Schizosaccharomyces pombe: one gene and its partner. The protein of the gene in region 1 interacts with the protein of each later gene in a pairwise test. Each region holds a gene or a part of one and is shown in the gene's direction. Other genes may lie near its edges.

Evidence for each region.
Region 2: the proteins of SPOM_SPBC800.12C (region 1) and get4 interact in a two-hybrid assay, tested with the Schizosaccharomyces pombe proteins (one large-scale study listed by BioGRID).

The regions. Positions count from the first base shown.
Region 1 is NC_003423.3:277,114-280,609, reverse strand, and holds SPOM_SPBC800.12C (ubiquitin family protein), read left to right. Parts: upstream 1-1,834; 5' UTR 1,835-1,851; coding exon 1,852-1,959; exon of another isoform or gene 1,960-2,016; coding exon 2,017-2,080; exon of another isoform or gene 2,081-2,121; coding exon 2,122-2,363; 3' UTR 2,364-2,669; downstream 2,670-3,496. Other genes in the region: centromere receptor protein cnp20, read right to left, coding at 1-946.
Region 2 is NC_003421.2:589,410-593,815, reverse strand, and holds get4 (protein Get4), read left to right. Parts: upstream 1-2,065; 5' UTR 2,066-2,161; coding exon 2,162-2,193; intron 2,194-2,240; coding exon 2,241-2,294; exon of another isoform or gene 2,295-2,333; coding exon 2,334-2,494; exon of another isoform or gene 2,495-2,557; coding exon 2,558-2,633; exon of another isoform or gene 2,634-2,748; coding exon 2,749-2,819; intron 2,820-2,864; coding exon 2,865-3,250; intron 3,251-3,315; exon of another isoform or gene 3,316-3,358; coding exon 3,359-3,490; 3' UTR 3,491-3,746; downstream 3,747-4,406. Other genes in the region: exocyst complex subunit Sec15, read right to left, coding at 1-984, 1,025-1,463, 1,563-1,682, 1,730-1,891, 1,932-1,964; SPOM_SPCC1672.11C (P-type ATPase P5 type), read left to right, coding at 3,963-4,406. UniProt on the Schizosaccharomyces pombe protein: May play a role in insertion of tail-anchored proteins into the endoplasmic reticulum membrane.

The DNA.
Region 1 (3,496 bases):
CTTCCATCAATTCTCTTTCATTGTATGCTTTTTCACCAAATTCCTGAATTGGATCGGCTGGGAAAGTATTTTCGCGCCTTAAAATCTCAAGGCTGGCGCGTTTAGAAGGTAACTCAGATAATCGAGAAGAGAGAGATGATTGACGGGATCTGGAAGCTCTTGAAGAGTAAGATGGTTCATCTTCTAAAATGTCCGGGCCTAAATTAAAAATGGGACTTTGATATTGGTTCAGGGTCGCAACATGGCGTTGGAGAGGTGTACCGTCATCCATGTCATCTGTTTCATAATCACTTAAAGGAATGCGAAAAATAGGAACTTCGTCATTTTTTAAATCTATGAGTCGATTACTAGAAGCGGTACTTAACGCGCTTTCTTGAACTTGGTCAATATTATTTTCTAATCGTTTTTCTGAGATTAGAGAATCACGAATATTACTGACACGCCTTCCATCTGGTGTAAAAAAGTCGCTAAGGCGCTGTGGAGCACGCCTTGGAGCTTCGATGGATTGTATCGTCAGATTTGCATCGCTAGTGTCGGTACCTGGAGATTGGGAATTCCTTTGTTTAGCATCATTTTTTAAAGTCCGACGCTTATTCGAAGACAATCTTGGTGTCTTTTGAGACTTTTGACTATTAGTTTGTGGAGTATGTCGTCGCTCGGAGGATTCTGATTCAGCTGGTGATGGTACTGGATTTTTTGCCAGCGCACGACTGAGCATTCTGAGAATGTCTCTAGGAGTTGTTGCGGAAAACACATTGCTCCTTCTCCTTGCTAGACTATTCCTGCGTGCAAGAGCTCTCCGTTTATGAGGAGTAACAGTCCGTTGAGCAGAACGTGGAGTATACCTGCTTCTAGAGGGGGTAAAATGCCGTCGCTGAGAAAGTGTACCAACTAAATGTTGAAAGGAAGAGCTCTTGAGTGGCGTCTCATAATTGTGAGAAGCCATTGTAAGCGTGATTGATTAGAAATGTAGGTTGAGTGAATATATGTATACCATGCTACCTATACAGCGATTTGGAGTTTTTGATAAATATTAAGGAGAAATAAACAATAATAATCAATCCTTTTAAAAAACAAATGATTCGAACAAGACGATTTCAGGGCTGATTAAAGATTATGGCTCTAGTAAGGTTGGTTATATCATCTTTCTAATTAGTATACAACTACTTCACACTTTACTTGCTTAAGTTCTAATCTGTCTGTCTTTATATACGCATCTTTTCTAAAACTGCTCCATAGCAATCTTATCTAAAAACATGAAGGAATACAACCTCTTTTAAAAAATCGAAGTAAAACGCAAAGATACTTTATGTGCCTATGAAATAAGATGAAAGCATGAAATGAACAATTAAACTATTTAGCTTTATTGTTTGCTATAATGATAAGCAAAACATTTAGGGAAACAATATTTAAAAACTACTAAACTCTTAACTTTCAGAAACTTGTATGGATAGTATTTGCAACAGCAACTTTATTAACAATGCAAAGATTTCTTATGACTTTAATAATTTATTTAACAGTAAATTTTTAAAATCATAATTATTATTCTTTTTGACAATTCTGAGTAAACTACGTTCGCGAGGTTGTAAAGCTTAAGGCATGAAATAGACGAAGTTATAGAATACTTTATGTTGAACTTGAGCGCTATTACATCAAGGATTTGGACTCTTAAATTTGTCGGTTAGCAGCATTGTAACATAATTATCAAAAACTGAACGTCAGATTTGATGTGTTGTTTGTCAAAGTTGGAACTAATGGCATTTTGTATGATATTTGTTTCGAGATTTTCTCTTTAGTGGTTTTAGGACACTTGATAATTAGCTTGAGTAAACTTGACATTCCACCATCACCATGAGCGAGGTACAAATTGTTAAATCGTTTCTAGAAGAGCTTTCAAAGACCCCTAGGAATCACCCTGATAGTATTCCAATTGAAAAAATAGATGAAACTGCTATTTCGGTGCGTAATAATGATTCTTGTTTCACAAATATGCTATTGAAACTAATAGTTTTATAGATCACTATTCCTGCTCCACTGGTCGAGTTTCAAGGAAATTTAGCTTTGTTCGAGGAAAAGAAAGGTAAATTCTGCTTAAATAACTACTTTTAACTAAAAATCTAGTTCATGTTGTTGCGAAAACTGTCCGACCTCCCATTCAACAAGCATCTACTGAAATAAATGTACAGTCTACAATTTTGGAGCTTAAAGAAGTTTTAGCATCTCAGTTATCTACGCAACCTTCCTCTATCCGTTTGATGTACAAAGGCAAACCTCTTGTCAACTCCAGACTTCTAGATGACTATGTGGATGCCGACAGTGTCTCTGAAGTTAATCTTCAAATGTTTCTAATGAATATTTCTTAAATGACTTGTTTCATGTTGGTATTTACCTATATTAGTTTTTCTCCTATTTTTTGATTAGGAAAGTATTCGACGTCAGACACTTATAAAAAATGAAGTGTGTCATTACATACTTATTATGAAAGTTATAGTTATAACTATTACAGCTTTTCTTTGTGTAATTCGCTCTATACTTTCTCAGTTTTGCATATCTGGGATTTTTATGTTTCCCTTTTTATGCAAGACGCCGGCAAGTAAAATCTAATTTAAAACAAAAATCGAAAGAGCATAGTCAGTAAATAATGTAACAGACATTTTTTTTTTCTTGAATTCCGTACTATAGAAAAGTCAAATTGTATTTATTTATTGTTAACATTTTTCTTTAAAATTCGTATTTAAGCGCCCGTATTTCTTTCATAATTGCGCCCTATACCTCATAAAAAAAGCATAATAATTATAATTTTAAGCTAAATTTATTTCCTTCAACATGTTATATAGAATTGTATATTGATTTTGTCAATGGTTGAAAATTATCCCAAAAGTACAATGTTAAAAGTTTAGCTATTATTTTTTTTGGGATGTAGACTGCATTCATATGTAAAATTTAGCCTTAAAAGTTGAGGGGGTCGTATTTTTGTTTTTTTAAAAAAGGTGACTGATCATGTCCATTTCTCTTTTTTTATGACTTTAATCACCAAAAAAAATAAAAAATAAAAAAATGAATATCAAAAGTTTATACTGGCAAGCATAACTTTTTTTAGAACGATTAGTCGCTCAATAATTTGAGGCATTTGAAAATTAGCCCGTCCTTTTCAAAGGATTTATTCTCTTCATTTTATATTTCTAATTGGATTCTACTTTTCGAGAGCGGATAAAACCATTCATATGTAATGAATGAACAAGGATCTACGTTTGTAAAATAATAGTTTGCATTATTAAACTATTTAATTTTTAATAAATCTTATTAAATATCGATGTACGAACATTCATCTATTAAATGACAGAATACGTAAACTAGTATTTTGGTTTCACGCTAAAATGAATTATCGAAATTCTTTTGTGTATTGTTCAATTTAAAAAATATACCAATTACAAACGAGCGATTATCGGTCTGAGGTTTAAAGGAATAAATATAAATAGATATAACCTCTGGTATT
Region 2 (4,406 bases), on another chromosome or scaffold:
CGTGAAGTGCAGACTTTCGTGCATTCGCTAAACCTTCAAGTAATTCAGTTGATTTAACATTATTACTAGAAGAGGCTTCCGCACCAATCTGGTGTATAGGCTTATTTAAAACGAGGCTTTTCTCTATTTGTAACAAAGGATCTTCAAATGCGTAAAAGTTTTTAACAAGTTGAGACATTTGAGAAAGTGCAAGTTTTGGATATAAACTCTTCAATCTATCAACAAGGCTTCGAAGAATAAACCTTCTATAGAATCGTGGTGCCTTTTCATTAACTTCGGTAGCCAATATGACAGAATCATTTAAGAACATGAAGAAATGACGGACAAATTTAGAAAGAGTTGTGCAACATAGTGGGCACATCTTTGAAAAGCTCATTGTTCTTGGGAAGGGTTCAGAGGGGAAGTTCCAATAGGGCGCTATATAATGGTCATATTCCTCCTGTGTCTCAACGATCATGGGAGCATACACATCCTTTTCAAACGCCTCTTCAAAGAACACAGAATGCTTCAATATAAGGGCTCCACCAAAAGCATCAATAAGCTCGACACATAAGTTCCGCAAACTTTCAACGGAAAACCCAAATCTCTCCATGGTATGCATAAGCAAAACAATTTGATTTTTCAGTTTTATTATTGTAGTGGTACTTTGCTCTGTAAACGCAACACTTAAAATTGTTTCGACCAACTTTTCACAAATAATAGTCCAAATGTTTTGAACTTCTTCGTAAGAGCGAAAATTGGGTATACACTGTAATATGTAGTACTCAACTATCATAAACCCAGCAATAGAATTTAACCATTCGCTGACAACAGCCATGTCTAGCGTGGTCAGACTTTTAGGCGCTAAAAACTCTTGTTGGCGTCTCCTATCTCGCTCAAATGAGGAACGGAAAGAGCTGAGCAAGCCCAAATAAGAATGAACTTGCAAGCATATATATAAAGGTTCAAAGCTAATCTTGACGATCTCGTTATCTAAGGGAGAAACTGAAAATGTTAACAAAACAGAAACAAAACGTAAACATACAATCCATCATTTCAAGCAAATATAGTTCTAGGGAAATTGAGGTTTTGGAGCTTAGGTTAACCAAATCCTCTTTGTATTCCCTAGCCCATCGTCTTCTGGCTTCATCAATTTGCTGTGAGCATGATTTACCAACTAAAGGTAGTTTTTGTCTAATGCTGAAAAGCCATTCATGCAGGTCTTCCATAACAGCGCTACATATAGCTTCCTTGGTAGTGACAATGTATTGTTGGATGGTAGAATACATCCCCAATCCATCTAAACGTTTTAAATGCACTTCGCTTATTTCTGAGCAAATTCTGAGTGTAGGAAGATACTGCTTTTTACTCAATAACTCTTGAGAGTACTGAACCTGATGCAACACTTGCATACAGCTCCTCACTAAATTATGATATTTTGTAAGAAATCTCTCGGATGTGCTTAGAGAATTTAATTGTTGTTTCTGATACAATTGTTAGTTTTCTGCGTAATCAAAATTCAAGAATTTAATCAAGCTCAATTTCTTCAAGTTGAAAGAGCCACGCTTAATATAATTGCTCACCATATTTTGTAAATCACGACCGCTAGCTTGAATGTCAGTGTTCAGGTCGGCCATTAAAGATTGCAAACTACGAAGTTCGGACCGAACTACAGATAACTGGTTTACCGATTTGCTAAAATCCTAATAATTGTAAGATTATACCTTAGGGAAACAGGAGACTAGCATACCTGGTTGTTTTCAGCAGAGAGCTGTTCAACGCGTATCGCGCTTTTGCTGGCCAATTCATTTAGCCGTTCATAAACTTGAGTCTCTTGTCCTTTTTCACACGCCAAGCTAATTAATTGGGGCAACCGATCTAAGGTGTCACCGGCAGATTCGATTGAAGCAATCTACCAATTTATCAATTACAACTCAGCAGTATTCTCTTACCTTATCTACAAACTCCAAGACATCTATATCCATCCTTTGAAATACATTGAAAGATGAAATACACAATTTCAACTGTAGTAGGTAGTTTCGCTAAAATAGGTATATACGGGGATGGGCAGGACCACTTGCTCCCTGAGACAACACTTAGTGCGAGAAGCGTTAAATAGCAATTCACGTTTACTCAGTTTTTTTACGCTTATTTTTATTTTTCTTTATAAATAATAAACAATATGGACGCAAAAATCAAGCGAGCCGAAGGAAGGTAATGAATTACGAATATTGATGAAGGTATTATTATTGACAATTTAGATTACGAGAGGATCCCTATGAAGGTCACCAAATGCTTCGCACTCTAGTAAATAGGTAGGTTGTTTGTTATTGATCAATGAATAACCGAGCAAGACAGGTGAAAGCTAAGAAACACGACGATGCAGTTGCATTGCTATATTCGGGCGCTAAAACATTATTTGAAATCGAGCAAACCGGAAGTGCCGCAGACCTAGCGATATACATGCTAGATGTTTATGAAAAAGCTTCATATGCTGCCTCTCTTGACAACAAAGGTATGCTAGTCACATCAGCTAATTTTAACTCTGATTTTTAAACTTCATTATACTAATTCACAGCCCGAGCTTTGACTCTTTTGGGACTTTTTCCTGCCGAAGAAGGTGCAAGGAAGCAATACGTTAAAAGGCTTTTAGAGTAAGTGCCTATTTATCTGTATGGATTATATATGGACGGCGTGAATGATAACGATCGATTCTTCGCCCTTTTATCCTACATACTGTCTTTTTTTTTACTTACTAATGATGAATAGATGGAGCAAATCTGCCGGTCCTCAAGGAGACAAGGACGTTCACTTTGCGGTAGCTACTATGTTTGTAAAATGTACGAACTTTTCGTAATCTGCTTTGCTTTTAACACATAATATAGGGAAAGAACCCGCTAGCGCTGAGAAGCACTTTGTTCTCGGAAATGAAAAGAGCGCCCGCGCATATGGTGAAACAATGTACTATTGGTTTACGTCGGATTCTTCGATCAGTCCTGATACGTTTGCTGGAAGACCTGTTTTAAATTATCTTTTGGCAGAAAACCTAATTTCTGCTTGGAACTCACTAGAGACATTTACCAAGCATTTTACTAAATCGAATGCGCCTGATGTTGAGAACATGAGTTTCGATGGTAAAGATTTTCCTGTTTTTAAAGAGTATCCCCAGATGAATTTCTTACATTTACTTATTTTTACGGCATATCGCAAAGATAAAGAGACATATCTTTCATTGGTACAAAAGTATCCTAAAAAGCAAGATTGGGAAGCTGTACGTTACATTTATAAGAAAAATGTTTCTTTTTTTCATATATATATTTACATATTAGCATTTTTTCTTATTTCTAAAGTGTTTTGCTAACAAATTTTTTTACTACAGGCCTTAGCAAAGATTGAAGAAATCTACTTTGGAATTCGCCCTGTTAGCAATCAACCAAACATTCTAGCCAATCTTATGAGCTCCTTGTTTTCTGGTCCTCCCGCAGCCACAAACCAGTTGGATTTGGAGTAAAAGCAACTGGATGTTATTCAAGTTTACGTGTCGCAGACATTATAATTGATGCATAAAGTTTACGAAATTGATATTAAAGATGATAAATTTGTTTTTCAGTCGTAAAAGAAATATATAAATTCCTAGAAAATGGTTTTCATTGAAGGGACAAGTGAAATAAGTATTCTCGGTAACGCGAGAGACATGTTTACGAGCAGCCTTCTTCTAATTTATAGAAAATACTTCCTTAGCAGATCAATAAAAAAAATTACTTCTATTAAAGCAAATACTTCTTATTGTTCTATTTACTTATGATTGTAAAGTTCTCACCTTTTGTTGTAGCAATCTTCGTAATGTGTGATTCCGTAGCTCAGTATTTTCGAACGCTCTTCATGGGTTACCTATTCACTACCACCATCCTGCAATCTCATAGTAAATTAGTTTTAATCAATAATTTAGGGAGATTGAAGGGGTTTTTAGTGGAGAAATCATTATGGCATCTCCGAAGATGATAAGAAGCAAGAGGTCAACATCCTCAATTGCTTCAAAAAATTCGTTAAATTCGTATTTGGCATCATCATTGATGAGCCATGATAGTATTTTCGATGGCCCTGGGTTAGGAACTAGCATTCCGTCTAGTGTCTCAAGCTTTCATCATCAAACTTTAAGGCCCTCTTCGGATGCCAGCGTAAGCCAATTTAGCATGGACTATCTACAGTCGGAATACAATCTTAATCGGTATAATGATGGGGAGTCTATAGCTGCTAGTAGGGATTACCAGAGTTTGCTTCGTGATAATGGCTCAGGTGTTTATAGTGATGAGGAGGAAATAACAGAAATGATGTTAGAAGAGTTGAATATACATCCGGTCTTACGTAGAGAATCTGTAGGAGAAGCTGCTGGATTGAGTGAAGACGGTTGCTGTCAAATTTTGTAC